4 linked regions of the Notamacropus eugenii genome follow. The protein of the gene in region 4 interacts with the protein of the main gene of each other region in a pairwise test. Links are inferred from orthologs where the notes say so. Each region holds a gene or a part of one and is shown on either strand. Other genes may lie near its edges. The genes, in order: NXF1, PDLIM1, ZC2HC1C and GFAP.

The links.
Region 1: the proteins of GFAP (region 4) and NXF1 interact in a two-hybrid assay, tested with the Homo sapiens proteins (3 studies listed by BioGRID and IntAct). The two-hybrid records come from large-scale screens. The link is inferred for Notamacropus eugenii from reciprocal best matches to the Homo sapiens genes GFAP and NXF1.
Region 2: the proteins of GFAP (region 4) and PDLIM1 interact in binary tests that used the Homo sapiens proteins (3 or more experiments, as listed by UniProt). The link is inferred for Notamacropus eugenii from reciprocal best matches to the Homo sapiens genes GFAP and PDLIM1.
Region 3: the proteins of GFAP (region 4) and ZC2HC1C interact in binary tests that used the Homo sapiens proteins (3 or more experiments, as listed by UniProt). The link is inferred for Notamacropus eugenii from reciprocal best matches to the Homo sapiens genes GFAP and ZC2HC1C.

The regions. Positions count from the first base shown.
Region 1 is NC_092873.1:15,879,530-15,886,536, reverse strand, and holds the start of NXF1 (nuclear RNA export factor 1), read left to right. Parts: upstream 1-4,006; 5' UTR 4,007-4,127; coding exon 4,128-4,155; intron 4,156-7,007.
Region 2 is NC_092872.1:211,875,088-211,883,039, reverse strand, and holds the start of PDLIM1 (PDZ and LIM domain protein 1), read left to right. Parts: upstream 1-4,946; 5' UTR 4,947-5,121; coding exon 5,122-5,217; intron 5,218-5,973; coding exon 5,974-5,997; intron 5,998-7,952. UniProt on the Homo sapiens protein: Cytoskeletal protein that may act as an adapter that brings other proteins (like kinases) to the cytoskeleton. Involved in assembly, disassembly and directioning of stress fibers in fibroblasts.
Region 3 is NC_092878.1:57,916,146-57,923,854, forward strand, and holds the start of ZC2HC1C (zinc finger C2HC domain-containing protein 1C), read left to right. Parts: upstream 1-4,701; 5' UTR 4,702-4,790; intron 4,791-5,887; 5' UTR 5,888-5,906; coding exon 5,907-7,256; intron 7,257-7,709. Other genes in the region: ACYP1 (acylphosphatase-1), read right to left, coding at 216-299.
Region 4 is NC_092873.1:348,995,206-349,002,671, forward strand, and holds the start of GFAP (glial fibrillary acidic protein), read left to right. Parts: upstream 1-4,453; 5' UTR 4,454-4,463; coding exon 4,464-4,915; intron 4,916-6,914; coding exon 6,915-6,975; intron 6,976-7,327; coding exon 7,328-7,423; intron 7,424-7,466.

The sequences.
Region 1 (7,007 bases), about 330 Mb from region 4:
CTCCCATGGCAATAGTGACCCCAGGAAACTGGGGGTGCTGCCTCTGACAGACTGAGGACTCGCCTTGCCCCTTGGTGTATCCTGCTATGGCCCTGCTCCAGCAGTAGCCAGGGGAGAAAATGGGAGAATCTGAGCTCATAGCTACAAGTAGACTTGGAATCGGTCATCTTGGCTTCCTTGTCTGCTGCCTGTGCTTTTGGGTGGGAGGCAGAGGGTGCCAGGGGCTCATGATCCTCCCCTCAAGGTCCAGGGAGGCTTCTAGGGATCACACTGTCCCCTCAGGCATCATCTCAGGCAGTGAGGGAGCCTGCAAAGAGGGGGCAGCATAGGCCAGGAAGGCAGACAGTGGGCCTGTAGCAGCAGTCTCAGCCCCAACCAGCATTCCAAGAATACTCTTCCCAAGGCCACCCCTGTCTTGAGACTGAATCTTCCATCCATAGTCTGCCCACTGCCAGGGATTATCCATCTTGGCAGCCTTGGCAGCTGCGCAGTCTGGGAGCTGTAGGAGTCATTTCTCAGATTGCTGCTGTGGATGAAGCACACCAGCCTAGAAGAAACAGGTTGGCCTTCAGGGAACCTCTGCTCCTGGAAGATGCCCTGTGGCCAGTCTGCTGTCTGCCACCTAGATCCTGGGTTAGCAAGAACCTGCTGAGCCTCCTGGTCTGGTCTGTCTAAACAATCAGATTTATTAGGAAGTTCATTGGAAATGCTCCCTGCCCAGACAGGCTTTGGATCTCTGGTCACCTGCTGAGAGGCAACGACTTTGATCCTAGTGAGACCGTTGTTAACACAGGTTCCTGTGCTCTGAAGGAGGAGCCCTGTAGAGTATCCAGGTCTAGCCAAGGCTTTGGGCCTTAGCAGAGAGAACCAGCTCTGGGAAAAGCCTGGGAAGGCTGGGACTCCTTTGTGGGGAGGATGGCTGGTGGAGGAACTGTGATCAGGGTGGGGGCGGGGTGCTACCTCTGTGACCTTAGCAAGTCAATAAAAACACATTTCTATAGTGCTTAAGTTTGCACAGCACATTTCCTCATTTGACCCTAAGTCCAATCACCTGGTGAGGTTCTTGGCTTCCCAGCCACCCCAACTACCACTCACCCTACTAGGTCCAGTGATACTGGGTAGGCCGCTGTCTCAGGCCAACCAACCCTACCCACCCTTCCTGTTCTCTCATCTCTAACTGATCGATCGATCAACATACATGTATTATGTGCTGGCCCCAGGCCCCTCCCCAGCCCCATCTGTGGTGCCCTCTGGAATCTGCTCCTTCATTTCTCCTCCCTTTATTTTATGTAGATCTCTTCCTCTCCAGCTCTTCCCCAGATCTTGCTGAAACATACATTTCCCTTCCCATCTTTGTAGCACTGATCAATTCCATTTCTACTTGGCCACTTTCCCCTCAGCCAGTTCTCAGCTGAGTTCTGCTGAATGAATCCAAATCCGTCACTCGGGCCAAGTTCTTGTTGCTGTCTGTGCACATCCCCGCTCCATCCATTCTCCCTCCTTTGTGGAGACTTTGAGGGTCTGACCCTCCTCTCCCCCTCCTTCCCAACCCCTGCTCTTGGATTAGGTGATGTTCCCACAAATACCCTGGCCACCCAGTTCCTCAGTCTACTACTCCACTTCGATCTGGCCACCCCCCACCCCCACCCCCAACAAGTGACCCACTTCCCTAATCAGGAACTCTGAAATTCCTTTATCTGATTATAATTTGTCGGCAGGGATAGAGGGAAAGGCCTAGAATCATGAAGACCCCAGTTCAAATCTGGCCTCAGATACTTACTAGACATGTGACCACCTGTCTGCCTCGATTTCCTTGGTCTTAAAATGGGGGATAATAGGCTGTTCCTAAAGTCCTTGGTACAGCACACAGTGGGCACAATGTTGGTTTGCTTTCTTCCTGTGCCAGACTACCCCCTCTGTGTTGTTCTCCCTGTGCTATTCCATCTCTCCCCCACTTCAGCAATTTCGGGGCTACCTGTCCTCTGGCTCCCAATCAAAAGCCCATCTTTAAGCTGCTCAGCTCTCGGGCCCTGCTCCTCCCCAGAAAACCCAACCTCTGCTTGCTAGCATCCTTTCCTGGTGCTACTGGGTGGGTGGGGAGCAACCCAAAAGACAGAATCTCTTCAGAGAAGCTGCTGTCCTTTCATTGGCCCTCAGTCCCCTCTCCACCAGAGCCCTCCCACACCAGGTCCACATCACAAATGACCCTGAGCACTCCCCTTCTCAAAGTCACCAGACCCTTTGACATCCTTCCTCATTCCCTTTTTGGAGAGGTGGACCTTCTCACCAAGGCCAGCAGATCATCCCCCTCATCCCTCTCCTTGCCACCTACACACATGCTCCATCCCTTTTCCTCTCCTGTCCCTTTTCCCATCAGGCTTCCAACCTCATCCCCAGAAAATGCTTTCTCAAAAAACAAAAACAAAACTAATTGCCAGAGACCTTTTTCTCCATCCTTATCCCATCTTTACTGCCACTTTAGCCCCTTTTCCTGGATCCGCCTCCTCTCTAGGTTGGTGACTTTTGGTCTGCCTGCCTGACCCCTCCTTGTCAAGTGTCCTTGGCTGGACCATTATCAATATCTGACCCCCAAGGCTCCATTTGGGCCCTCCTCTGGGTACAAAAAGTAACCTTGTCAACCTCTGAGATCTACATTTCTTTGCACAGTCAGCTTAAGGCAGGTCTACTAGATCCGAGGACTGGGTTTCTCTTAGGAGCTCCAATAGCACATCGCCAGCTGCCTATTAAATATTTCCAAATGTCCAAAATGACTTATAAGCTCTAATTCCCCCCCCCCCCCCCCCGCACAAAAACATCCTGGTGAGTGCACTATTGACCTTCCAGTTCCATTAAATTCAATGTGTGTTCGTCCTTTGTTGCCAAAGAAGACCATGCCATCAGAGAAATGGTGACATGACTTGCACTTGACTTTGTTCTGAGTGACGGAGGGCTGTGCCAGTCACCAGCCTCACTTCTCCTCCAGAGCCATGGGAATCCAGGGACCAGATATTCCTCAGGATGACCGGAGATGACCCAGGAGGAGGCAGTTGGGGTTAAGTGACTTGGCCAAGGTCACACAGCTAGCGAGCGTCCAGCGTCCGAGGTGAGGTTTGAACTCCGGTCCTCCCGACTCCTGCACCGGGGCTCTATCCACTGCACCTCCTGGCTGCCCCATTAAAGTCAATAAACATTAAATGCCTACTATGTGCTAAGCTAAAAAGACCGTTCCTACCCTGGAGGAGACCCCAAGCGGAGGCTGTACAGCGGGGGCTGCGGAGCCGCGGGAGGCGCGTCCTGGGGCAGGGCTGGCCCCCAGCCCCGCCCCCTGGATCGCCAGGTCTGCCCAGCTGCACCCCCCAGCGCCTGCCTCACGGTGACAACCTGGCACACCCGCTTCCGGACTCGGGGACCCCCGCGTGTCCCCCGTCCTGCGTGGCCCCGGTCACAACATACAGGAACGCCCGCAGGTGCCCACGTGATCATCGCTGACTGGGGCACGCCGCGGGGATGGCACGTGCCCGGAGTCACCCCCGGGCTTCCGGACCCGGGGCCCAGAGCGCCCCGCTGCCTCCGGCCAAGTTCCCTGACTGCTGGCCCAATGTCACTCCTGCCTTTGTAATCCCGCCGCTGGGCGGCTACTGGGCACGCAGTAGGCGCTTACTAGGTGCATGGGGACTGACGGGGAAGGGATCGAGAGGCCTCCGCTGCCTCGGGGGCCCCGCAGCCCTAACCCGCGAGCTTGGGACTAGGCGCCGGGGAAGTCGGGGGCGGGGCGGGGCCTGGGGGGCGGGGCCTGGGAGGAGGGGCCTGGGAGGAGGGGCCGGAGGCCGCGCCAGCCCAGCCTGTCCCAGCGGGACGCGCAGGCGCAGAGGCATCTCGTTCGCTGGCCGCGCGGCCGTGTGCGCAGGCGTGGCGTGCCCCAGCTCCATTGTTGCGTCCGGCTCCGCCTCGCGGCTCAGCGCCAGCCTCGCGGCGCGTGGAGGCCGGCTGGGGCGGGGGCGTGCGCAGGCGCGTCGGGGGGGAGGGGAAGGGGGTGCGGTGGCTCGCTCTGAGGCGCAGGCGCTGTGCGGAGCGCCGAGGGGCTTCGTCGTTTGTCAGAGCCGGTGTCCGGCGTTCCCCGGCTCGTCATGGCGGACGACGGCAAATCGTACATCGGTGAGTGCCAGGGCCCGGGCCGCAGGCGGCGGCCGCGGGCCGTGGGAAGGGGCCAGGCCTGGGGGAGACGGGGACGAGGCCGAGGCCCTGGGCCCGCCGGGTCGGTGGAGCGCTGGGTGCGGGCGGCGGGGGCGCGCCTCGAGCCGCGAATGGCGCCCCTGAGGCGGCGGGGGCGCGCCCGGCGGGGCGGGGGCGCGCGCGGCGGGCTCGGGGCCGGGCCGCAGTAACCGTAGGTCTCGAGGCCCCCTCCTTCCCCCCTCCCCCCCGCTGAGTGCCTCCTCCCGGGTGGGTCCGGGCTGGGGGAGGGGCGGCCCTGGCGCGGGACCCCTTCGTTTATACCAGGAGGGGGGCGTCTGCGGGTCCCCCCAGGCCGTGGCCCTGCCAGCCGCGTAGTCAGACCTCGGTGACTCAGTTTCCCCCACGTGCCAAACTCCCAGAAGCCGGCGCCACCGGGAGGGCGGCCACGCCTGGGGTCGAGGCCGTGTTTTCTGTGGTCCGGCCCCCTCAGGGGCCCCGGACACGCCCTTCCTGTGGCCCCCGAAGGGAAGTTGTTGCGAGGGGTCCCTTAGCGTTTGTGGGCGCGCCTGGCCGGGGCTGCGTGAGACCTGCCCACCTCCAGGGGCCAGCCCGAGTGACAAAGGGCCCCTCCCTGCCCGCCCAGGGACGGGAGGGGGCGGGCACGCGGGCTGGGTGCCGTTGGAACTCGGGGCGCAGGGGGTCCTCCAGAGGGTCTGCTCAGGCATGGGCATCTGTGCCCGCACGGGGCTTGGCTGGTGGCATCAGGGCGGGCTCCGGGGAGTCACTGCGGTGGAGGGGCTGAGGGAGGGGGCCGGCGAGTTGGGCCTTCCAGGGGTGGGCAGGTGTGGCAGCCAGCGCAGGACCACGGGGCAGCAGGGAGGGAGAAGCCTGCTGTAAGCTGGGCCAGTTGTGAACAGCCACCTAGATAATTAACATTCTTGAGGCCACTTGGGGCCTTCGGCGTCCTTGGGTGCGGCCTTCTGAACAGTTCTTTTATTGGGGGGATTTGCTCTGTGAAGTTTGGGTTCAGTCAGAGAGCCGCACTGGAGGACCTAGAGGGCCACATGTGACCTCCAGGCCGAAGGTTCCCCAGGCTTGAGCTAGCGCTATGTCCTGAGCTGATCTTTGACTTCCACTCTTCCTGGTGGGCACATGCTGCTGTTGGCTCCAGTTTGAGGTGAGGAAACTAAGGCAGGCAGCAGGAAGGGCCTTACCCAGGGTCACATGCTAGGAAGTGTCTCAGGTCTAATACGGGGCAAAGGAGTTTGCCTTGATCCTGAAAGTCTTAGTGACAGGGGCCTATGCCAGCATGGCAGGGGCATCTTGGTTAGCCTTGAGTTTCAGGGCCTTGGGAGGATGATGAGAGAGAGGAGAGACTGGAGACCTAGAGGCCAGTGAGGAGGTGAGGTTAGCAGTGATGGCCAAGCGAAGCTGGCTGCTGAATGAATGGAAAGAAAGCCGTGGAGGGGAGTGGGTGTGTGAACCTGGGGCGGGGGGGGAACCGAGGGCACTCCTCCCTCCAAGCTGGCACTGACTGGAATGACAGCATCTGAGTGACCTGGGGCCTTTGAGTCATCTTCTCTAAAACTCCATCTATGCCTACCTCTGCAGATGAAACATGTACAGGAATAACTCTAAGAGGAATTAAAATGTTAAGTACCTAAGAGAAGTCATACCGTAAACAAACACTTGTGTGAGAGACCCATTTTTGTTATATTTATGGACACTTGTTTTTTCATCAAGTAATTCCCCCCCTCTCCTTCACATAGAGCCATCCCTCCTAACAAAGAATACAAAAAGCAGTTCTTCCCAGCCAGGTCTGCCACTTCTGTCTGGCAGAGTCTAGCCCCTGTGACCGCCCCCCCCCCCCACTTGTTCAGTGGGGCATGCTTTCTCACCTCTTCAGAAGGTCCTTGTGATTACACAGGGTGCAGGGTTGTGGGTGCTTGTCATTGTGTATATGATTCCTGGTGCACTGGTCAGACTTTCTCCACCTTTATATTCATTGTTTCTTACAGTGCTGTCATATTCTTTTCCCTTCCTCCCTGTAGTTTGTTTGGCTGGCCCTCCATGGATCCTCTCTTGCCTCCAGCGCTCACAGGGGCTGCTATGAATATTTGAAATATAGAGCCTTTCTGTCTCTGACCTCTTTGAAGTGCAAAGAATAGCACTTTTTTAGCATAATTTCAAATGCTTTCCAGAGTGGTTGAGCTAATTCATGGGTCTGCCAACAGAGAGTGCTTGTGTGCCTGGCTTCTTAAAGCTAGAGAGGCAGAATCTTAGGGGAACATGAAGATTTCATTTTTAAAAATGTGGAATTGGGAGAAGTGCTTGGGGTGGAAGTCAGGTTTTGGGAATCATCTACATAAAAATAAAACTGAAGCCTTGGGAATCCATGGGATCAGCCCTTTGGAGAAAAGCCGCACTTAGGGGGCAGATGAGAAGTTACTAGGGAAGGGAACTTGAAAAATTCTGTGTGAGGCAGCAGGGCCCCATTCACAGAGGTATGCCCCTGTAGAGATTCTGATATGGCGCACCCCAGTGTGGCAGACCCTGGAAGGGTAGCCCAGGAGGCCTGAGGCCTGTGAGTGGGCAAGACAGCAGGAGACTCATTCTCCCCCCCCAAAATCATGCTCTGTGAGGTCCACCAGGGCTGAGGAGAAAATGGAAATAGAGGGAATGTTAAGGTGTCCGGCAGGTGGAAATAAACCTGAGGGGACCCTCCCACAGTAGCCTAGAGGAAGTGCCTGGTGAGGACTAGACTGAAGGAGACAGCTTTTTCCACCTTGCCTTGAACCATCCTTGTGACTCCAGATTAAATTTTGAAAACCACG
Region 2 (7,952 bases), on a different chromosome or scaffold from region 4:
TACTGCAATCTACTTCCATGTAAAAGTATGGAGGTTACCCAGGGTTCTCAACGGCTAGGAATGAGCTAATATACTTACAAGAAGTCCATCATCACAAGATTGGCCATCATGTGAGGCAAGTTTTTGGCCTAAGCAAATCTATCATAGCCTGGAGCAGAGTGAGAAGCTTGTGATCTATGTCCCAGGGACTAAGTATACCAGTGGTTCTGTATGGATACCTGAGGTACCTGAGACCCTTTTAGGAGATCCTTAAAGTCAAAACTTTTTTTCATAATAATACTAAGATGTCATTTGCCTTTTAAAATATTCCTCCCATTTCCTACTGCATATCTGTGTGAGGCCAAAGTTCTTCCATATACTTCAGTCAAAACAACATATTGAAGCTTAAAAGCAAAACTGTATAAGAGAATCCCGCTGTCTTCTATTAAGCCAGACATTCAAAGAACTTGCAAAAATATATAAAATAATGCTACTCCTCTCACTATTATTTTTTGTTTGGGAAAATCATTTTTGTCATAAAAAAATTTATGTGGACATGTAAAAGTTTTAATTATTATCTTCAAATACTTTATTAATCACTAATCAATTAATTTAATAAATAAATATTTTTAAATTATCCATTTTAATTCCAAATGGAGTAAATATCAATATCGACAGCCCATAGAGTCAAAAACTCTTTGGGATCTACAATAATTTTTGGAAATGTGAAGGGATTCTGAGAACAACCAAATTGAGAAATGCTAATCCATTCCTATAAAATACTGGATCTTAGAGGCATAGTAGACTTGGAGTTAGCACTGACCTGGGATTTAAGTCCTACTTCTGACATACTGTGTGACCCTGGGCAAATCAGTTGCCTCGAGCAACTCCCTATGTCTATGAATTATAGTATAGTTGCCAATCTGCTTTGGTAAAAAGAATTTCCTCCCTATGTGGATGAAATCACAGGTTTAGACAATTAATAATAACATTAATAACTGACATTTCTATAGCATATTATCTCATTTGATCTTCACAACAATTCTATGTGTTAGGTACTGGTTGTCTTAAGAGCCTTGTTTTATAGAGGAGGAAGCTGAGACCCACAGAGAGGGTGCTCAGTGACCAGTGTCTGAGTCAGAATTCACACCCAGGTCTCTCCTGACTGAGCCTACCATTCCTTCTATTACACATGCTGTCTCTCATTCGTGTATGTAATAATAACAATGCTAATAAACAGCTAGCATTGATAAATCATTCTAAAGTTTGCAAAGTACATTTAATAATAACAGCTAGCCTTTACATGGTGCTTTAAAGTTTGCAAAGCACTTTGTAAATCTTATCTCATCTGATCCTCACAGCAATATTGAGAGGGAGGTGCTCTTAATATTCCTTTTTTACAGATGAGGAGAGTGAGATAGATAGAGGTTAAATGACTTACCCAGGGTCACACAGCTAGTAGTGTCTATGGCTGGATTTCAATTTGTCTTTCTGACTGCAGATCCAATGTTCTATCCACCCATCACCTAGCTGCCTATATTAACTCAATTGATTCTCATGATTAGATACTAATATTGCCCCCCTTTTACAGATGAGGAAACTGAGGCTCAAAGGATAGTGACTTACCTACTGTCACATGGCCACTATATGCCTGAGGCAGGATTTGAAGTACTGTCTTCCTGACTCCATGTCTAGCACTCTATCCACTATGCTTCCCAGATGCCGTCCACAACAGACATGGGAAATAGAGTGTTCTCTTTGAGAAACAGCAAAATGTCTACTGTCACTGAATTGTTTGGAGGTAGATAACTAGAAAGCCACAGGGGCCCACAATTCAGATGCAGGCCATAAACCAGGGGTAGGGAACCTGCAGTCTCAAGGCCACATGTGACCCTCTGGGTCCTCAAGTGCAGCCCTTTGAATGAATCTAAAACAAATCATTGTGAAGTTTGAATTTCATCAAAGGGCTGCACTTGAGGACCTAGAGGGACACATGTGACCTTGAGGCTGCAGGTTCCCCACCCTTGCCATAAATCCTTGATAGAATAGCATCCTAGGAGAAGCAACCTGAGCTGATGGGCAAATAAATATGGCTGAAAGAGTCAGATGAAGAATGCTGGGTTGGGAATTGTTGGGTAAAGGAAATAGGCATTAGAGGAAATGTTCAATTTCATCTGATTTGTATCTCCAAGATGCTCTACTTACAATCTACTCTATTCAGCATGTGGCTAGCAATCTCTCAAGTAATAAGACCCATTCAATGATCTCCTCCCCCTGGAGCTCTATTCAGTTCTTCCCCCTTCCTCCTTCGCCCTTGGTTAAACCACGACTCACTGGAAAACCTTGATTAGGGCTCTTATTTTCCCAGGCCACTTGCTTATGTTATCTTGGGACCCAGACATGGCAGAGTTGACTTTGAGGGAAAGCTAAGATAGAAGTAGACAACATTTAGTCATCATCATAATTGCCCCCCTCTCACCCAGCATCTTGTCCAGTATCATAGAGTCGGATCTTCAAGAGACTTTGAAAAGCATATCTAATCTAGCACCTTCATTTTCCATTTGAGGAAGCTGAGTCCCAGAGACCAGAGGTGACATGCCCATGGTCTCGCAGGTGGTAAGTACAATTGGAACTCGGGTCTTCTACAGACAACTTCAGTACTCTTTCCACCACATCATGCTCTCTCTCTTAAGTGCTATATTTTTTCAGTACTCTTTGCAGTTTTCTGTTATTTATGTGGCTTGATCGTGCACTCAGAATTTCTAGAAATAAAGGGTAATTGATCCTGAGCTAAATTTTCCCCATTGAAACCTGTGGCTGAGCATGTTCTGTGAGTTGCCGGGGACCACAGAGGGATCCAATCCAGAGATGCCACTTCTGGTTTTAACAGGGGCTGGAACAGGAAGTTGGAGAAGGGAGGGATTAGGGAGAATAGAGTTTGTGGCTTGGTGCCTAATGAGCTTCCCTTGTCTGTCTTTTACTCACTGCTGTGAGAAACTGAGGCTTCTTACAAAGGGCCTTTAGGCCCTGAGTTGGGGTCTGTGGCTCTGCTGGGGAGAGGAGGGGGAGGTCAGCACACAGGGGAAAAATAGTAAAGGTAAAGGAGGTCAGGAGGGAATGGACAATTAAAAAAGAGAGAGGGACCAAAGGAGACAGGAAGTGTAGGTCCTGCCTTGGGTGCCACTGATACCGGTTTGCTCATATTTATTTAGCTCATTTTCCATAAAGAGAGAAGCAGGTCCGATGGTACACTTAGAAAGCAGAGTAAACAGAGTGATTATCCCAGAGTGCAAACTGTGTAAGATGCCTCCCTCTTCTTTTGTCCCAGGACCCCCCATCTATCAACTCTGCTTTAGGACTGAGAGGCTTGTTGCTTCTGCTTTCACAGCTCCTCTGGGGATACAGAGGGGGAGGGGTGGAGAAGATGAAGTCAGATACCCTTCAGAACTGAGAATTTCAAGATGAGTGTTACCACATTAACTCTGGGGTTTACAGGGACAATGATAGCTAGGAGCTGAGGCCTGGGTTCTAAATTGGTTTTTGATTTTGTGACATTGCCAGGGATTGAATCTGGCCTATCTCACACCAGTTTTGAGTAGTAGCTCTTCTAGGTCACCTCTTACCAGATTTGACCCTTCCTCTTAAGCTTCTCCAGCACCTAGCTCCCATAGATCCAGATGTCAGATAATGACTGAGACTTCAGTGTCAGCAGCATATCTAAGGCAGATAAAATGGGGCATAAGTGAAAATAAGTGGGAGGGAGCCAAGTGGCAGATTTTTGTAAACGATGCCTGTACAAAGACTGTGGCTGGGGCACTAAGGCTGTATTTACTATCAGCTACCAGCCGAAGACTGCTAAGCACTGTGGGTGATACACAAACATAAAACAAGACCACTGCCCTCATCTCAAAAACCGGAAGGAACCATTGGAAGTGATTGTTTTAGACCTAGAAGAAACCTGTCTTGTGGCCTAATCATCTCAATTTTATTTATTTTGTAACTGATGACCCACAATTTGATTAATTTAGTCCATGCCAGATGAGAAAACTCCCTTTCCCAAGGTAGATCTGCATTCCTTTTTAATCATTTTATTTAGAGAGTTGCCCTAGGCACTGAAAAGTTAAGTGACTTGTTCCTGGTCTCACCGACAGGATGGATTTGAATCCAGCCTATCTTGACTGGAAGCCCATCTTCCTACTAACTCACTACAACCCGCTGCTCATCTTTCTCTTCGTTCCTTTATTGAAGTCTGGAAAGATGGTGTCTTGCTCAGTCATCCAGAAAATCAGAGGTACAAACAAAGTCCGATCCAGTGTTCTTCCCAAGGTTATCTTTTATTTCATTTTTCGGTTCATGGAGTTACACCTCCATCCTCAGCCGAAGCGCCTTCCTCCAGACTTGTGAACTGTTCATGTCAGTCAGAGTGGCTAAATTGAGTTGTCCTGAACGGAAGAAAATTTGAAGTCTAGTTAGACTGTCTTTGGGATCCGAAAAAATCAACTATTACGTGCTTAATAGAAGTGAATGTGGGATTGAGCTCAGGAAAGATAGCTACACAGCTCTTTAAGGGTTAAAAACCAAATACCGGTGCAACCCCACCCTTCCTCTCTCCACCCTTCCTCACCTTGCGGACCAGGCAGAGATGCGGGCCTCAGCCTGCCCGAACCTCCTGCTTAGAGCCTGGGGCTCCCTGGCCTGGGTGAAGGGGGGATGCGGGACTGGGAGGGGACCGCAAGAGCTGATGGGATCCTCCTGCATCTCTACCATGTGCGCGCCAAAGTGACCCCAGTCCTGGAAAGCTCTCCTTCCTCGCCTGTATATGTCCCACCGTCGAGGTGCCCCGGCTTGACCCTGACAGCCAGGACCGGGTTAGGGCCAAGAAGAGCGGGGGCACTGAGTCTGGGCTAGGGCGAGGGCAAAGGCGAGGGCGGGGACAGGGGCGGGAGCAGACCAGGCAGGGCTGGGCGGAGCCGCAGCTGCGGTGGCCCCAGCCCCAGCTCTGGCTCGGGCTCCGGCAAAGCTGACCCGGGTGCTGCGCTGCGCTGCGCTGCCCTCTTGTTCACTCCTCCTGTCGGCTCCCCGAGAGCTCCAAGGGCAAGCCGAGTCCCTTCTCCGTCGGCCACTTCACTTGGGCTGGGAAACATGAACACAGAGAAGATTGTCATCCAGGGGCCGGGGCCCTGGGGTTTCCGCCTCGTGGGAGGAAAGGACTTCGAGCAGCCCCTCGCCATTTCCCGGGTAAGGTCCCGACCGCGCTGCGGTGCCTACTCTGGGGCCGCGCGAAGGCACCGGGGTGGAGAACTGTGTTGGGGCTGAGTGGAGGGGACCTGGAATGGAGAGACGGGCTGGCACGGCCACCTTCCCGGCAGGCTGGGGCTCCGGGAGCAGTACAAGGTCCGGTCCCAGGGGCCGGGGACTGTCTGGGGCACCCTCCCTCTCGCCCCTCTCGCCGGCGCTCCCGGCTCACCACTGTGTAGGGCAATCACACGTTCCTGCAGTCCAGGTGCGGCTGTAGCGATCCGACCTGGGGCAGCGGGCGAGCGCGCGTGGGGTGAGGAGGTGCGCTGGTGCGCGCTTCTACTTTCCCTTCGATTACTGTCGCCCATCTCGGGTAGGGACGGGTTGGGACGAGTTGAGGTTTACATCCTCGGGGGAGGGGGGGTTGGGTGGGGGTCAAGACTACGTCCCCTGAAACGGAATGCCTCGGGCCCCGGGTGCGCGACTGTCTTATCTGTTCAGTCCATCAATCACAACTATTTTCCGAGCTCCAGCCTGGGGTGGGGTGGGGGTGTTGTTCCTCGGTCCCCGGAGCGGAACGTTAATTTCCTTCCCCACTTTGCTAGTGAGTTGACTGAATGGCCCAGGCACACCTGACATTGAATCCTGGATAACAGAATGTGGGATTTCTCTCCACTCCCCCCACCCGCCCCCACTAATTATTGTTGTTTTGTATATTCATTTACATGTCACTGGCTTTGATCCTTTCTGCTCCAGTCATCGCCTCAGTTTCCCAAAAGGGTAAGTCGTCTTACCCAAAGTGGCAAAAACTAGTTTATCTTCTACTTTCAAGCTGGAGACTTTGAGTTCCAGTGGAAAGACCACCACTGGCTCTGGAATCAGAAGTCCTGAGTTAAAATGCCACCACTGATGATTACCACTTGGGTACCTCTGAGCAAGTCACTTAATACCATCCCCTCCGGCCTCACTTCCCTCCTCTGTATAACGAAGATGTAGGGGTGGGGGGTGTTGGACTAGGTGAACGCCTAGGATACTTCTAACTCTAAATCCTATGCATCGTCCTTTGCTATTACATCCTTGAGCAAGTTACTTAATTTCTGGGTCCTCAGTTTCCTCATCTGTAAAATAGGGGAGGAGTGGATGACGTCGGCGGCCCCTTTTAACTTTAAGTCATTCACTCCATGATCTTCCAGCCCATCTGTTGACTTTTTGCCAATACTCCCTACCGCACCCTCATTTCCATAGTGATTGAGGGTGAGGGTTTTCACTGTGCTTACTGATTTCATCTGGGAGATGCCTCTTTAGCCTGGAACTACAACTGTTCCAACTCCAAATATTTTTGAACCCCCAGTAACACTTTACAGATCTCTGGCCCGAAAAAGCTCAAATGAATGCCCCTTAGACAGGGGCTCTGTGAGGGAGGAGGCATATAACAAGCAGCTGGCATCAGTTGTCACAGATGGCAGTCATAAATGCCCAGCGATTTTCCTGGCATGCAATGGGATGTCTGAGGTGGGGGAGGGACGAATACTAAGTGGAAGGTGAATGCATATAACAGCAGTGCCTTCTCCCCACCAGTACAAATCCTACATTTCTTTCCAGGCCCAATTTGGACCCACTTACTTCCCCACAACACCTCTTTCCAATCTATTCAACATCACATTTGAACAGCCCGTAATTTGGATTTAGAAGATCTGGTGCCAAATCCTGACCCTGTCACTTACTTGTGTGAACAATGGCCAATCACTCCCAGTCTCTGGGCCTCAGTTTCCTCATCTGTAAAATCTTTCAGGTCCCTCCAGGTCTTAGGCCTGTGATTTTTCATACTTCGTGAATTTTTGTAACATTCAATAAAGTCAGTACAATGAAATATCACATTTCAGAAAAGAATATGCTGTATTCTCCAGCAAAACATAAACTCCTTTGGGTAGACTTTTTTGTTTGTAACCCCAGAGCCTCACACAGTGTCTTGCATGTAAGTGGTGAGAGTAAGCAGTGAAGTGGTTGTTGGTTGATTCTCTAGTTTTATGTTGGTATACAATTATTATTTATAGTTATTTTTCTATGTTTTATTTCTTACTAGAGTATGTGGCAGGAGTGATCTATTTAATCTGTATCTCCATTAGTATCCAGTAAGCACTTAATAACTACTTTAGGTAAAAGATGATATTGACTCCCTGGCCACAGTATAAGATCCCCAATGACAGACTGTCTAATTTTTTTTATTGCTCTCTTTTGTTTTTCCATGATCTTCATTTACAAACATATCCTTCCCTCTTCTCCTTCCCAGCAAGCCATCTCTTAGAACAAAGATTAACAAAGAAAAAAGTTCAGCAAAACCAACCCACACATCGACTTCATCTGGCAGTATATGTGTGTACCCTTCCACATCTAGAGCCTACCACCTTAGAGATTGTTCTATGTCATAGCTGTAATTTCCACAGAGTGAAGTTCACATACTGTGGAGCCTATAGAAAGTGGTCAGTAAATATATGGTGGTTGAAATGCTTGTTGAGTGAATGAATTATCTCTATGTATTTAAATACCACTTACATAATTTTCTATTCCTGGTTCTCATGTTTGTACCTGCCACCCTTTTCCTAGTTGAGTGATTTATAAGTGACACACAAAACATCTTTTAAATAGAGAGTTAGATCAGGTGTCTTCCCTAATTATAGCACCATCACAAAGCATGTTAATAGATGTTCCTTATCACATGTGGTATGGGAGTGACC
Region 3 (7,709 bases), on a different chromosome or scaffold from region 4:
ACCAGACATCACAAGTAATAAAAAAGGAAATAGATTAAAACAAAAGGCACAAAAAGGATAAAATACAGCTCACACCCAAACCTATGCCCTACTGTTTTAATAACCAGTTCTTTATAGTCTCATCTCCAACATGGACAGTTCATGTGTATCCACAAAAACATTCATTTTGTTGAAACATTATTTAGCATCTTCCAAATCCAGTGTGGAACACTTACTTGTGTGTACTTTCGGAAAAATACACCTTGGACTTTCCCAAAGACTTCATAATCCACTGACAACAGGGTGTGTCCTTCAGCCATGGTAAGACCTGCTGGTGACCAAGCAGAGCAAAAGAAGTACAAAAACAAGTCCAACTCTGGACATCCTGGGTTTTTGTCATTTTATCCGTTCATTCGTTTAAAAAACAAATAAAAAACATTTATTGAGTCCCTAATGTACTCTTGTAGGTCCTTAGGAAGACTTTTTTAAAAAGAGAGGCAGCTGGTGGCAGAGTGGATGGAGCACCAGTCCTCTAGTCAGGAGGACCTGAATTCAAATCCCTGCCTCAGACACTGGACACTTACCAGATGCATGACTCTGGGCAAATCACTTCACCTTGACTGCCTCACCAAAAAAAATTTAAAAATAAAAAGGAAGAAAAAGAAAACAAAAAATGTCCTAAAGGAACCTGTTATTAAGATGGTAAACTCTATAGAAGTAGAAATCTTATCTTAGTCTGCTCTGAATGCAGGTGACTGACAATAAATGTTTCAACTGGAATCAAGCGAAGGACACAAACACACTTATGTATATATACGTATATAATTATATACATGTATACATATATACATGTTTATGTCCGCTATATATACATGTAATACACATTTGCTTTACACATCATATACACATGTACACATATGTGTATTGCATGTGTGCACACATTCACAATGCATAGGCATACAATGCATGCATGTATATATGTATACACACATGTATGTTTGCACATTATGTGTATATAAGCACACAGTTGATCTATCTATATGTACCTGCTATACCAGACTATATGCACACATGAATTATGTGTACCTATATACAGACGTGTGCATAGACATATGCACATATACCATGCATGCTTATGTGTATACACATGTATGTGCACATACAATGTACATGTGTATATATACATGCATGAACAATGTACAGGGTGTGCGTGTACACAGACTGATGCTCAGCAGTGTCTGACACTATGCGATCCCATGATAAAAGGTTTTCTTGGCAAAGATACTGGACTGGTTTGCCATTTCCTCGTCCAGCTCGCTTTACAGATGGGGAAACTGAGGCAAACAGAGTCACACAGCCAGTAAGCGTCTGAGGCCGAATCCTGGCTCCATACCCAGGGCTCTCTTCACCGGGTAACCTAAGTGCCCCCTATACACACTGGCACACTACACAATACATATGATGCACACGAAGACACACGCCCAAGATCTGCAGGCCCTCCCGGCACGATTCCTCCCTCCTCCCCCTCTAGCTGTGCAGGCGCTCCACTTGGCAGAAACCCTCGAGCCTCGCCGTGCTGGTGGCTAGGGGCCCAAGGGCGGGCATCCACCAAAGGTGCCATCCAGGCTACCTCCCCCTCCCGGCAGGAAGGACGCCCCCTCCCACCTCCCCAGTCCCCGGAGCCCCCCGCTGGCGAGCCAGCCCGGGCGGGAGCGGGGCATCTCTGGGGGGGCCCCCCCCCCGCTGCTCCCCCTCAAACTCCACCCCCCGCTGCTCCCCCTCAGCCCCCCCCGCTGCTGCTCCCCCTCAGCCTCCCCCCCCCGCTGCTCCCCCTCAGCCTCCCCCCCCCGCTGCTCCCCCTCAGCCCCCCCCGCCGCTGCTCCCCCTCAGCCTCCCCCCCCGCTGCTCCCCCTCAAACCCCACCCCCCGCTGCTCCCCCTCAGCCTCCCCCCCCGCTGCTGCTCCCCCTCAGCCGCCCCCCCCGCTGCTCCCCCTCAGCCTCCCCCCCCCGCTGCTCCCCCTCAGCCTCCCCCCCCCCCGCTGCTCCCCCTCAGCCCCCCCCCTCCGCTGCTCACCCTCAGCCTCGTCCCTTCTCCACTAACACCTCATGCCTACCCCCCCGAGGGCGGCTGGCCCTGCTCGGCTTTCGCCCAGCAGCACGTCGCAGGGCGGCCAGCGGAGGACCTCACCCAACCGTCAGTTCCAGGTCACAACTGCCCGCACCTGGAGAGCATCGAGTTGTGGTCCTCCCCTTCCTCCTCCCCCCGCTCCCGGCTAGAGAGGCCCGTGGCCCCGCTCAGCCAATGAGGGCCGGCCGGCCCGCCCAGGAGCCCGCCCACCTGCGAGGGATGCGAAAGAGCCGAGAGCCTCACGTGACCACCCCTGATCCTATCCTCCTTCACCACTGAAACTAGGGGTGAATTTGTGGTGGGACTGGATGGGCAGAGAAGATGCTTCCAGCCTTGGCGTCCCCCTGGAAGCTGTCAGCTATGAATTACTGTTGGTTTTCCTTACTATGCTCTTAACTCAATAGGGCCAGCCAAATAGACAAGAACAAGCAACCCTGGACTCCAGAGTTATGTTTGAGCCAGTCATCTCAGACTCTCTCTCTCCATGTATCCCATATACCAAATTTTAAGGACTCATTTGGGGAAAGGAAAACAGGGAGAATGGAAGGCAGGAGAGGTGGTTATACTTAGATACTAAAATCTTGCTTACAGAATGAAACCAAGTGAAAAATATGCAGTATCAGTATTAATCCTGGCAGGATGAACCATCCTTCAAGTATTGGTCAAAAACATTCTTTTAGTTGACACTTAAAAGGAGTTTATAGCTCTGCATACCGAACTTTATGTCCATTGACTAATATTCTGAAGCATTTTTATCACGACCTGGTGGGGTAGTAGTTATCCCCGTGTGGAAAATAAGGCAGCTCACACTAAGTTTTAAGTGATTTGCTCAAGCCCAACAGCTATTAAGTGGCAAGGTCAGAGAGAGCCGTGTGTTGCCCTCAGAAGAACACTGGATTTGGAGAGTATTTGGATTAAAATGCTGCCTCTGCCATCTCCTACCACCTGTACGTGACTGTGAATAAATCACTTAACTTCTCTGGGATTCAGATTCCTCATTTGTAAAATGTGGGTTAGATCAATAGTATCAAATTCAAATAGAAATGAGGGCCATGAAATATAAAGGTCCTTGTAAGCCTCATATTGACTTAGTTTTAAAATGTAATATTATCACTGTTTTATTGTATTTTTATTTAGTTCAATATCTCCCAATTACATTTTAATCTGGTGCAAGCTGCACTAAGTAATGTAATAGACACATGGGGCCTGGAGTAATGTTTGACAGCTCTAGGCTTAGATAACTTTTAAGGTTCCTTCTAGTTAGAACATCCCCCCAAAAATATAGGCTCCTTGCTGACCGGAGATTTACAAATGTTATCAATTCCTCACAACAAACCTGTGAGGTAGGTGCTGTTATTCTCATTTTACAATTAAGGAAACTGAGGCAGAGGTAAAACTAACTTGTCTACAGTCACACGGCTACGAACCCTGGGTGGTCAAGTGGCAGATGGAGTTCTGGGCCTGGAGTCAGGAAGGCCTGAGTGCAAACTGGCCTCAGCTATTTACTACCCTAGGCAAGTCACTCAACTCTGTCTGCCTCAGTTTTCTCATCTGTAAAATGAACTGGAGAAGGAAATGGCAAACCACTCCAGTATCTTTGCCAAGAAAACCTCAAAAGAGGTCACAAAGGACTAAAACAGCATATCCTCTTGGTTCCAGGTCTCCTCTCCACTGTCATATATGCTCGGGTACCTCAGGAAGCTGCTGACTTCCATTACAGCCAATGAGTTATTCCTTTTTCAGTCTACAGCAGGGCCTCATAACCAGGCTCCCTTTGAAACTGGTGAGTGACATTACAATAAAAACAACATTTTGAGATTTTAAGGTCCGTAGGTTTTTGTGTGAAGACTACAAAAGCCAGAGTTTTCCAAAGCAGTTTGCAAAAGCGAGCTGAGGCACGAAAAGGCCTTCTGCCGACCCTTTATGGAGGCTTTTTTAGTGCTGGCGCAAGTATTAACGGATTATTCTGAAGCCGTCGGTGGCCTTCGGTCCTCAGGACCGTTCCACTTCGCTGGGTCATTTGTAGGCCCTAAGGGATGGGCCGCTTGGGCCGGGATGGAGTGCCACAAAAACGCCAGGGGCTAGTGTCTGATTGGCCATAAAATATGCGGAAAAAAATAATTTTAAAGCCTCCCGGCCAGTCATGGACAGGCAAAGGGCCCCGAGAGGGGCACACTGAGGCAGGCATGCCCGCAGCACGCACGAGACCGCTGAGCGCACTAAGAGGCCGCCGGCACGCCCGGCCCTCCAGGCGGGCACACGCAGGGGCTCTCCTCCGCCAGGCCTTCGAAGCGGCCCGCGCTTTGGCCCCCTCGAGGCCTCGCGTCCCGGGTGCTCTTCCATCCCCGCGGTCCGGGCCGCTCCGGGCCACACTCTCCTCCTCCCAAGGCACCTGTAGGTGAGGCCCTGGGGAGGCCGGCCTACGCGCGCTCCTCTCCCAGGGAGCCTTGGGGAGGCCGGCGCACGTGCGGAACAGAACGCCCGGCCTCGCGGGGCTCGGGTCTAGGGCAGGAGGCGGGACCGCCCCCCCCCCACCTCCGCCGCGGCTCGCGCTGTTTCCAGGCAACGGAAAAACAGAGCGGTCCAGAGCGCCTGCGCCGGGACCGCGGTCGGGGTCGGGCCGGGAAGCTGGCGCCCTGGGCACGGTCTCCCGCAGCCGGAGCGGACGCGGCGGAGCCTCAGGTACCTGGAGGGGCAGGCTTCCCGGAAGGATGGCGGTACTCCTCTCCCCGCTCGCCCACCCGGCCCGCTCCCCACGAGGGCAGAGAGCTCCAGGAGAGCCCCGCTGCCCGAGCGCCCGGCAGGCCCGAGGGCTCCGGTGCCCGGCCCCGGGGACGCTGCCGCTGCCCAGTGTGCGGGGAGCGCGGCCCGGCTCGGCTCCCGCACCGGGGCGGGGGCCTCCTCAGCCCCTGGCTGGCGCTGCGGAGCGGGGCTGCGGGGGAGCCGGCGTAGACGGACCCCCGGGACGTTATCTCGTCCCGCCTCCGCCCTCCCCGCCGGCTTCCATGCGCCACCTGTGCATCAGGCCCAGATGGCAGCCCGGGCAGACGGGGAGCGGGCACTGCCCTCCGGGATCGCTTGTCGCACCCTTAGCCCTGGCATTACTGGAACCGTGGAAGGACCCCCGACCGTGGCGTCCGCGCTCGGGCAGGTCACCTCTGTGTGAAATAAGAGGGACGGAACTGGATGGTAAAGATGCCCAAACTGCCCAGCACAGCCCTGGGTCTTCGTAACTGCCCCTCGGCTGTAGGGTTATTTCCATTTTCAAGAGGATTAGAAAATGAGGCCTGGCCGAGCGAGTCCATGGTCAGGCATCTCATAAAGGGCAGAAGATTAAAAATGGGCTCTGTTGGAAACTTCTGGTGCCCTGCGAACCTGCCCCCAAATCCAGTGCTTTAATTAGTCTTAAAATTACAATTTGAAATTTAAATAATTCAGATCTTAGCTGTAAAACCCTTTTCTTTTCATGTTGCAGCCGTTACTAGTCAAACAGTAGTACATGAGGTTCTGGAGCAGTAACATGCCCCACAGGAGACTTTACTAGGGCACTAAATAGCAGAGGCGATTTGGGTGAATACCTAAACCTGCCCACCAAGGGCTTTGGAGAGAGATGCAGCTATTTTAAGGGGGAAGTCGTGCTATCAGGATCCTTTCTCTGTATCAGGCCTGGCACCATTAGTAACGTGGTAGAGAAAAGCAAGGGAAACTTAGAATCTGCTTCAACACCCCAGACCCAGCATCAGATTTTTAACACGAATCTGATTTTGATTCTCTCTCAGGCTTCAGGTCAGGCACTGAATGGCTCGCCTCCAGTTGGCTCCTTGTCCACATGTGGACATCATGCTTCCTTTTAACAAAATGGAAACTTCGGAACTCCATTCAAGTAGGCCAGCCCGTTTTGAACAGAGCAGCTCTACCCATCAGTCTCGGCTGGAGCACCTGAAAAACAACTTCCAGCAAAAACTTCTAAGAGACAAAGAAGAGAAGCTGGAGAATATATTTACTCATAACCAGCAGAACACCTTTACTAAAGCCCATAGTTATCCCTCTTCTCATTCTGTAGAAAGCAGCCAACAGGATTCAAGAAACAATCAGCAGGGTCCAGGAAGTGGGGATTTTTATTCAGTTGGAGTCCATATGAGACATACCAAAACAGATAACCAGGAAAACACAATGCCCTTCACAAAAAAGAGAGCTGGTGTGGATCGTGCCTATCCCCTCAAACCAGTGTTTCACCGAAAATCATTGAGTGCTACTCACATTAAGACTGACTGCCACAACCTCTTCCAGAAACCCTCTGAATCAGAAGAGGTCACACCCAGTCACTTCAGTTCACGGAACAGGGGGGGTTCATCTTCAGTTAAGATGCTACTTGCTCCCCTACCAGTGGTTCAGCCCAAAAAATTCTTGTTAAATCCAGGCAGAACTGAGCTAATGCAGATTCAAAAACTAGAGGCAGCAAGTGAGAGCTTAGAGGAAGAAATTCGAAGAAAAGAGACTCTCCTAAGGGAAAAGTTGAAGAAGACTGAGGAAGAACTTAGAAGGATCCAAAAAGAAAAGGAGCTGGTAGAAGAAGAAGAAAAAAAGGAGTTACAGAGAAAGACATTTCCAAGGAGAAGAGGCACAGGTAGCAGCAGCAGCATTTCCAAACTCATCTTCTCGCCAGAATTCAGGCCTGAAGAGGTCTTCAATAGTCATAGCAGAGGTGATGAAACATGGGAAAAGTGCCAAGAGAATTCTAGTCCATCTTCAGTATGTTCCCAATTCTTCAACCATGGAGTACAAAGACTCAAAAAGGAAAGACTAGGGGCAAGTAATAATAAAATCCGAGATAAAATTTCAGTATCATCCCCTGAGTCATTTTCACAGCACCAAGAAGATCCTGGAATTTCTTTGCCCAAATCCCCCAATTATAGTTCATCTCAGGTATCAGTCACCTTAGGTTCCAGCTCTTCAATTGAAGAACCAGAGCTTGGTGAGTGCAGCTACTGTGGACGAAAGTTTCTCTTGCTAAGGCTAGAGAAACATACAAATGTCTGTAGCAAGATCCAGGGTTCCAAGAGGAAAGTGTTTGACTCATACAAGGCCCGGGCTAAGGGCACTGAACTGGAACAGTACCTGGCCTGGAAAGGCCCAACTTTAGCCAAGGTAAGTAATGTTAACTCCTATAAGCTTACGGATTTTATTTTGGGTGAAGGATGGTTGGGGACTGGGAAGGGTAATCAAAGAAATATGAACTATTTTCTTACCTTATAAAAGCATTTTAAGTGGGAGGCAGGGAAAAGGAATTTGAAATAGAGCTGGAGTGTAACACTACCATCTTGTATTTCTGAGAAGTTAAGTAACCTAACCTTTGTAGAACTTCTTTGTGCATTTCTCACATTCTCCAGTTCTGATCTGCTAGAATCTTGTAAGAATCATGGTCTTTTTCATGAAGCACTGTCATTTCCCACCCTGTATCACAAACTGGTATTGGTTTCTTAGGAGTTAAAAAAACAACCCTGACAATTCTTAATTCCAAGTTATTCATATTTTTAAACTTGTATCTAAAGCAGATACCAAATTGCCAGGACATTTAACTTTACCAGTGCAAATTACAAG
Region 4 (7,466 bases):
AAATCCAGATCTCTGATTTCATAGGTATGGGGAATTCTTGCCAAAACCTCTTCTACCAATCAATATTTGCAACCTCAAGTCTTCATTGCCTAGGTCACTGAGAAGTTAAGTGACTTGCTTAGAGTCACACGGTCATGTGTCAGAGAAAGAACTTGAACCTGGGTTTTCCTGACTCCAAGTACAATTTTTTTCCAGTATGCTCGGTGGTGGCAAATTCCTCTCCTCTGAGAGTAGACTGGATTTTTGAAAACAGGAAGACATCAGGTGGAGCTACATTTGGTGATGCAGCAAAGGACTAATTCCCATTGGAATAAAAAGCTGAGGAGTTACTATAAAGGATGTAATAGGTTTTGTTTAAGGATATTCTTTCTACTCTGGCCTGGGCAGTTGGGCACTGCCATCTAGCTGCCAGCTAGACACTTCATTCTCACTCAGTGTTTGGCCAGGACATTGACCCTAGGGTCAGCCTCCAAAGGGGCCAGGCCAACAACTTCTGCACTTCCCTACTCACTCTCCTCCCAACCTGGATCTCTGGACCCTTTTTAGTCTTAGTCAGTCAAGCTCTGTTGAGTTCTTTGTCTCTTCACTTGGATCATAGGTCTAGAACTGAGAGAACCCTCAGGAACCATCTAGTTCAACCCCCTCATTTTACAGAAGAGGGAACTTTGACACAGGAAGGTTGTGTCTCATCCACAGTCACACAACTAATGTTTCATAGTCAGGATCTGAATGTAGGTCCCTCGACTCCAGAGTCTGGGATCTTTCCAATGTGCTATGACAATATCCCTAAGCTTCAGTTGTTTTTTGTTTTTTGTTTTTTTTTTAATGAGAGGGTTGAACAAGATAAGTCAATAAATCAACAAGCATTTATTAAGTGCATGCCTGAGCTAGGTGATCTCTTAAGGTGCCTTCCAGTTCTAACATTCTTTAAAAAAAATGTAACCAAGGATCTAAGACAACTCCAAAAAGGCTCATGATAGAAAACACTATCCACATCTAGAAAAAGAACTATGGAGTCTGAATGTAGATCGAAGTCTACTATTTGCTCTTTTTTTTTGTTTGTTCCTCCCATTGGTTCTAATTCTTCTTCACAACATGACTAATGTGAAAATCTATAGATGTGAATATAAGATGTAGAGCCTATATCAGATTGCATGCTGTCACAGGGAGGGGGAGAAAATTTAGAACTCAAAATCTTTTGGAAGTAGATGTTGAAAACTAAAAATAAATCATTTAAAAAATATAACCAAGGGTCCAGATCTTTGCTAGTTGACTGAGTTCTCAGCTGCCCTGTGCCTTCCTCCATGATCCTATGTTCGTGAGGTTGGAGTTCTGAACTATAGAGGGAGTGGGTACACGAAGGGAGAATATTATCAGGAAAAGACCCAAGTTGGAAAGGGACCTAGGCAGAAGGAGAGTGGTCAGATGAAGCTGAGGGCCTCTGGCTGTAGTTTGGGGTGCATCTGTCCTGTGGAGTGTATCTCAGAATCAAGTCTGTCTGTTTTTGTGACTGTCTATGTAGAGGGTGGTAATGGGGTATAGGGTTGGAGGCAGGAACCAGAGCAGGGCTTCAGGGAGGGTGAGTGATGAGGATGAGGCAAGGAATCAAGAGTGGGGCTGCTCTCATAGCTATCCCCTGGGTATGGTGATAGGGCAAGTCACTGGCAGATGGGCATTGATTCAGAAAGACAGCAAGTAGCAGATGAGATTTCTCAAGGCTCTTATATGTCACTAGTCCCTCATGATCATTACAAAAGCAAAGAAGGGCTACCTAGCTTGTTTTTGTGATTTATTATTCCCCTCCAATGGCTTCCTTGCTGTTTCTCAAATATGACATTCCATTGCCCAACTCTGAATTTTCACTGAATGTCTTCTGGGTTGTGATGTCCACCTCTTGACTTTCCTGGATTCCTTAAAATCAGCTAGAATCCTGCTTCTCCAAGAAGACTTTCTCAGATCCCCTTAATGCTAGTGCCTTTCCTCTAATTTATCATCTTTCTCTCTCTCCCTCCCTCCCTCTCTCTCTTTCTCTCTCTCTCTCTCTCTCTCTCTCTCTCTCTCTCTCTCTCTCTCTCTCTCTCTCTCTCTCTCTCTTTCTACACCCATACATCTACCCATCTATCATCTATCTATCTATCTATCTATCTATCTATCTATATCTATCTATCCATCTCTCTCTCAATATAGTTTGTACATATTTACATATTGTCTTCCCTATTAGAATGTGAGTTACTTGAGGGCAGGGATTGTCTTCTGCCATACTTTGTAACCCCAGTGCTTAGCACAGTGCCTGGCACTGTATGTAGTAGGCACTTAATAAACACTTTTGATTGGGTTTGATAGCATCTTTAAAGTTCACTGGAGTGTTACTTTCTCTTGAATGTAAATGGCAGGGTGCTGGGGGGAAGAGTACACAAACTTGCTGAATCCCACTGGAAATGTCCTCCGTTTCTCTAAAAAATGAAGATGAAAAAGTCCAGTCCCTCAATCTTGTCCATTCCCTAATACCTTACAGCCAGCCCTTTTCCTACCTGTGGGGGAGTCCAAGCCTTTCCTGGGCCCTGCCTCCAGGGTTCTCCAAGTGCTCCAGACCTAAACGCCTTTGGGTAGTGTGGGCTCTGGAACTACAGACTTCATCTTGCTCCCCCTCCTTATGGGGGCTCAGAGGTAATACCCAGATCTGACCCCAGCCCACGCTGGTGCCACTGATTGGCCAGCTGTGGAATAAGCTCCAGTTGGAGACAATGCTTTGTAATTCAGACTCAAGGTTCCACTGAGTTTCTCAGAGAAACTGTGATGAGGAGAGTCAAGTTGGCTTTGTGGAAAAAGTTGGGGAGGGAGCAGTAGCTGTAAACTGGAGCTGGGGCCTCTCTCTGAAGATGATTTCTCTTTTAGCTTTGGGTTTTCCTCTTCCCCCCTTCCCGTCTCTACTCCCCTTACCCAGCTTCTTCTGCCCACTGCATGACTCACCTTGGCACAGACACAATGGCTCCAGGGTGGGCACAGAGCCCACTGCCTATTGCTCATCAGCCTGACTCCACTTCTTTCCGAGAAGCCCATTGAGCTGAGAGCTTGGGCAGCACCCTTGTTTGGCAATCTTGCATCCTTGGGATAAAAGCAGCTTCACCTCCTGGGGGGTTGACATTTTTCTCCTCCCAAACCTCTCAGAACAATAATCCTTTCAGCAAATGCCCAGGCAAGTAGAAATCAGCAGCCTGAGAATAGTTGGGGGTGGGGGTGAGGGATGCCTATCTCACAGAAGCCCAGGGAATCTGGGACTGGAGCTTGAACTCTATGTTATCGAAGCGAGAACACTAAGGTCTGAAGACAGGATAGGAACCAGGGATCCCAGGCACCAGAACTCTCAGTCCAAAGTTTACCTCAAAGGTTAACTTATTGTTCCCAAAGTTTTGCTCCTCCCCATTTTCTTATTTCCCAGAGTACCAGTACCTAGCTCCTCTGCCAGGGAACCTAGAGGATCTAATGTGTGGGAACTCAGGGGATATAAATCTTCAGTGAGATATTGGTGGGGGAAGGGAGAGGATGGAGTATTGAGGACGGGACCCTGGGAACTCTCCCTGGGAGACAGCTCAGCACCACACAGCCTCCCTGGTCATCTGTAATGGCTTTGTGGAGCTGTCCAGTCCTGGGCTCTGGTAAGGCGCCCAGTCAGAGGAGGGTTATGAACCAGGGCAGGGTGGCATGGTTGGGAAGGCCAGAGACGTCCTATGCCTTCCTCTGGCTCATCCTTGACTAATCTCCCCCACCTCCACCACCCCATCCCCCAAAGTCATTCCTCTCTTCTATGAAGACCAATGGAAAAGATGGCAGAATAGAAGTCAAGAGGGCCTGAGTTCTAGCCCCATTTTTGTCACTAACTACTTGAATAAACTTAGACATAACTAAGGACCTCTCTGGACCTCAGTTTCCTCTTCACCAAAATGAGAGAATTGCATTAAAAGATCTTGACGGTCCATTCCTGTTTTGAGATTTTAGGAGCCAGGTTTCCAGACTGATAGGTCCTGGCTAAGCTCCAGGTCTAAAACTCTTGGTATAGAGGGAAACAGGGGTAGAAAGAGAATCTTGGAGAATGGGAATTTTCAGAAAAATGAACGCCCTTGAGAAGCCCTATGTTTGGAGTGGGAAGGCCTATGAGGTGTATCACAGTAGAATAATTTATTCCAATTCCCTGGAGAATACAAAGGCCAGCAAGAATACAGGGAGACCTTTCTCTCTCTCTCCCTCCCTTCGGTAGAATAATGAGATGGGAACTAGGGAGAGGAGAGAAGAGGGCTCCCCCCCCCCAGGGGGGCCTTCGGTCAGTGCCTCATCCCTTTCCAAGGAATGGTGCCAAAGTAAACATGGGCAGTGCCAAGAACCAACAGCTCAGGGTAGTGGAGCTGGGTGTGCCTTTCTATAAAGCCCCCTTGGGGCTGCCTGATCCAGCCAGAACCAGGGCCAAGATGGACAGGCGGCGCATCACCTCCTCTGCCCGCCGATCCTATGCCTCTGAGGTTGTGGTACGCTTCCCAGGTTCCCGCCGCCTGGCTCCAGTTGTCCGGCTCTCCCCGAGCAGAATGCCACCTCCGGTTCCCACTAGAGTTGACTTCTCAGTAACTGAGGCACTCAATGCCAGCTTCAAAGAAACACGGTCCAGTGAACGGGCCGAGATGATGGAACTCAATGATCGCTTTGCCAGTTACATCGAGAAGGTCCGTTTTCTGGAGCAACAGAACAAGGTTCTGGCAGGGGAGCTCAACCAGCTTCGGGGCAAAGAACCTACCAAGCTGGCCGATGTCTACCAGGCTGAGCTGCATAGACTCCGGTTTCAGCTGGATCAGCTGACTGCAAGCAGTGCCCGGTTAGAGATCGAGAGGGATAACCTGTCTGAAGATCTGGCCACCTTGAGACAGAAGTGAGTAGGTGGTTGTCCTAAGGAGAAAGGGAGAGGAAAGGGTGCAGTGTGACTTGAATAGGCTGGTCGCCCCCTCTGGAGCAAGGTTATCCAGTGGTAACCTGGGGCAATTCAGAATCTCTCTAGACTTCAATTTCCTCATGGGCAAAACGAAGAGGTTGCATTGGGTGATCTCTGGGGTCCCTTCTCAATCTAAATCTAGGATGTTACAGTCTTGTTTTCCCCAACTTAATAAGAATAGTTCCTACTTCTTGGGTCTGTGATGAGACTGAAAATAAAAAGAAGAGATGAAGCTAGAAAAGGTAGGGAGAGGAGACCTCAAGGTCAAATCCAAAAGCCACAAAAGATTCTCGTTCTCAGTTTTCTCCTGGGAAAATGTGTCTGATTCTTGGAGCAGTAGCTCATTCTGGAGGAGAAGTATGGGACAAATGGCAGGGTGCCTGGACTCTGACAGCTTTTGCTTTACTAGGTTACTCTGGGCATCTTGCTTGACCTCTCTGGGACTCAGAACTGTGTAGAAATCAAGGAGGGAGAAAGGGATGCGAGTGTCAGAGGGAAAGACAAAGTTAGATCCTGGATGTTTATGAAACTGTGGTTCTTGTGCTTCAGACTCTGGTTTGGGGGGGTCTATTAGTCACTCAGTTCATTAGTCTGCTCATCTCACACAGACTGTGAACTGTTTCATCCTTGTGAGCAGAGTCCTGTGCTGAACCCAAGGAGAGATACGCGTGCACACACACACACATCCCTCTAATCTGACCAGGTACATAAGAGACCCATCCAAAATAGAAACAAGGATGGGCTCTTGGGTAGAGCTGTGAGCATCGGTGCTCAGGGAATTCACGGGGAATGGAAGGAAGTCAGGAAGACAGGTAGGAAGAATTAAGGAAGGCATCCCGGAGATGAGGGGGAGTCTTAAACAGGGCTGGGGAGGAAGGAAAGGAAGGGGTTAAAGAGTGAGGATAGAGTGGGCTGCCAGAATGGGTGTGAGACCACTGTTTACATTATTCTTCATGGCCACCTCTAAGAATCTGGCGGCCCTTTAGTTATTCAATTAATCAATTTATTCATGCTACAGATCAACTATCCCCTGTGGGCAAAGCCTTGTTCTAAGCATGAAGGGGAGACACAAGCATCAGCAGGGACTACCTGGATATGGATTGGAAAACAGAAGCTGAAAAATCCAGAGAATACATTGGGAGGAGTCAGTCTAAAAATGCCCTGAGATTCTAGGCAGGAGTCTGAGCAGCACTGTAGGGCCAGGCTGACATCCAGATTTAGAGATGAATTCCTCATTCTGGGGCCATGTGGACAATCTGCTCACATGCTCTTAATAGGCATGTTCTCGGATAGCCTGTGGTGCCCAGAGTTGAATGGGCAATAGAAAGAAACCCCATGGAGAAACTTCTGGGCTATTGGAGGGGGCCAGAAGCAAAGAGGAGGGGAGGGAGTGTTTTATATGTGTGCATATCATTGTGTAGAGAGATATAGATGGGTTAGTGGAATAATGCATGTATATAATCTATTAACTAGTTGCAAGACTCTAGGCAGGTCACTCCCCCAACTCTGGATCTCCATTCTTTCATTTTCAAACAAGGGAATGGGAACCAGGTGATAGCTCAGGGCCCTTTTAGTTTGTCGGAAGGGCAAAAGTTTTGTCCTCCCCTTAACTTCCCCTTTACTCCAGAGGATTGTTGGGACCCTTCTCTCTGTAGCCTTCAAATATCTCATGGACAATTTAAGGTCACTATGTAACATAGTGGGTAGAGTGCTGGGCCTGGAGTCAGGAAGACCTCAGGTCAAATCCAACCTCAGGCTCTTCCTAGTTATGTGACCCTGGGCAAGTCATTGAACCTCTATTTGCCTCAATTACCTGTACTGTAAAAATAAGGATGATAACAATAGCACCCACTTCACAATGTTTTTTGTGAGGATCAAATGAGATCATATTTGTAAAAAGCACCTGGCACATCCTAAGTGCCTATCCCCTTCCTTGCAGGCTCCAGGATGAAACCAACCTTCGACTGGAGGCAGAGAACAATCTAACAGCTTATAGACAGGTCAGGGGACTTGGAGGGGCTGGAGGGAACCAGGCAAAAAGGTGGCAGCATCCCCTAAACTCAGCCTCTCCCTGTCTCTTGTCTTTGCCCCATTCCCTATGTCTGCCTTTGTCTCTCCCTAATCCATCATCCTTCAGCTCTGCCTTCTTTCCTTGTGCCTGGCTTGTCTCCAGTCCTGTCTTTTATCTCTGTCCTACTCATTCTCTGTACTATTCCCTTATCCCTGGAGAATGGAAGCTGGGTCAGAGCTGAGGGATAAGGAGAGTGAATGTGTGTATATGGGGGGGAGGGGGGCATTGGGGAAGGGGATGATATCCTGAGGTCAGAGCTAGTCCTCCTCTCCCTGCTGCAGGAGGCTGATGAAGCTGCTCTGGCCCGCCTGGATCTGGAACGGAAGGTTGAGTCTCTGCAGGAAGAGATTCGCTTTCTCAGGAAGATTCATGAAGAAGTGAGAAAACCAGAATGTTCCAGGATTTCCCTTCTCCTTGTAT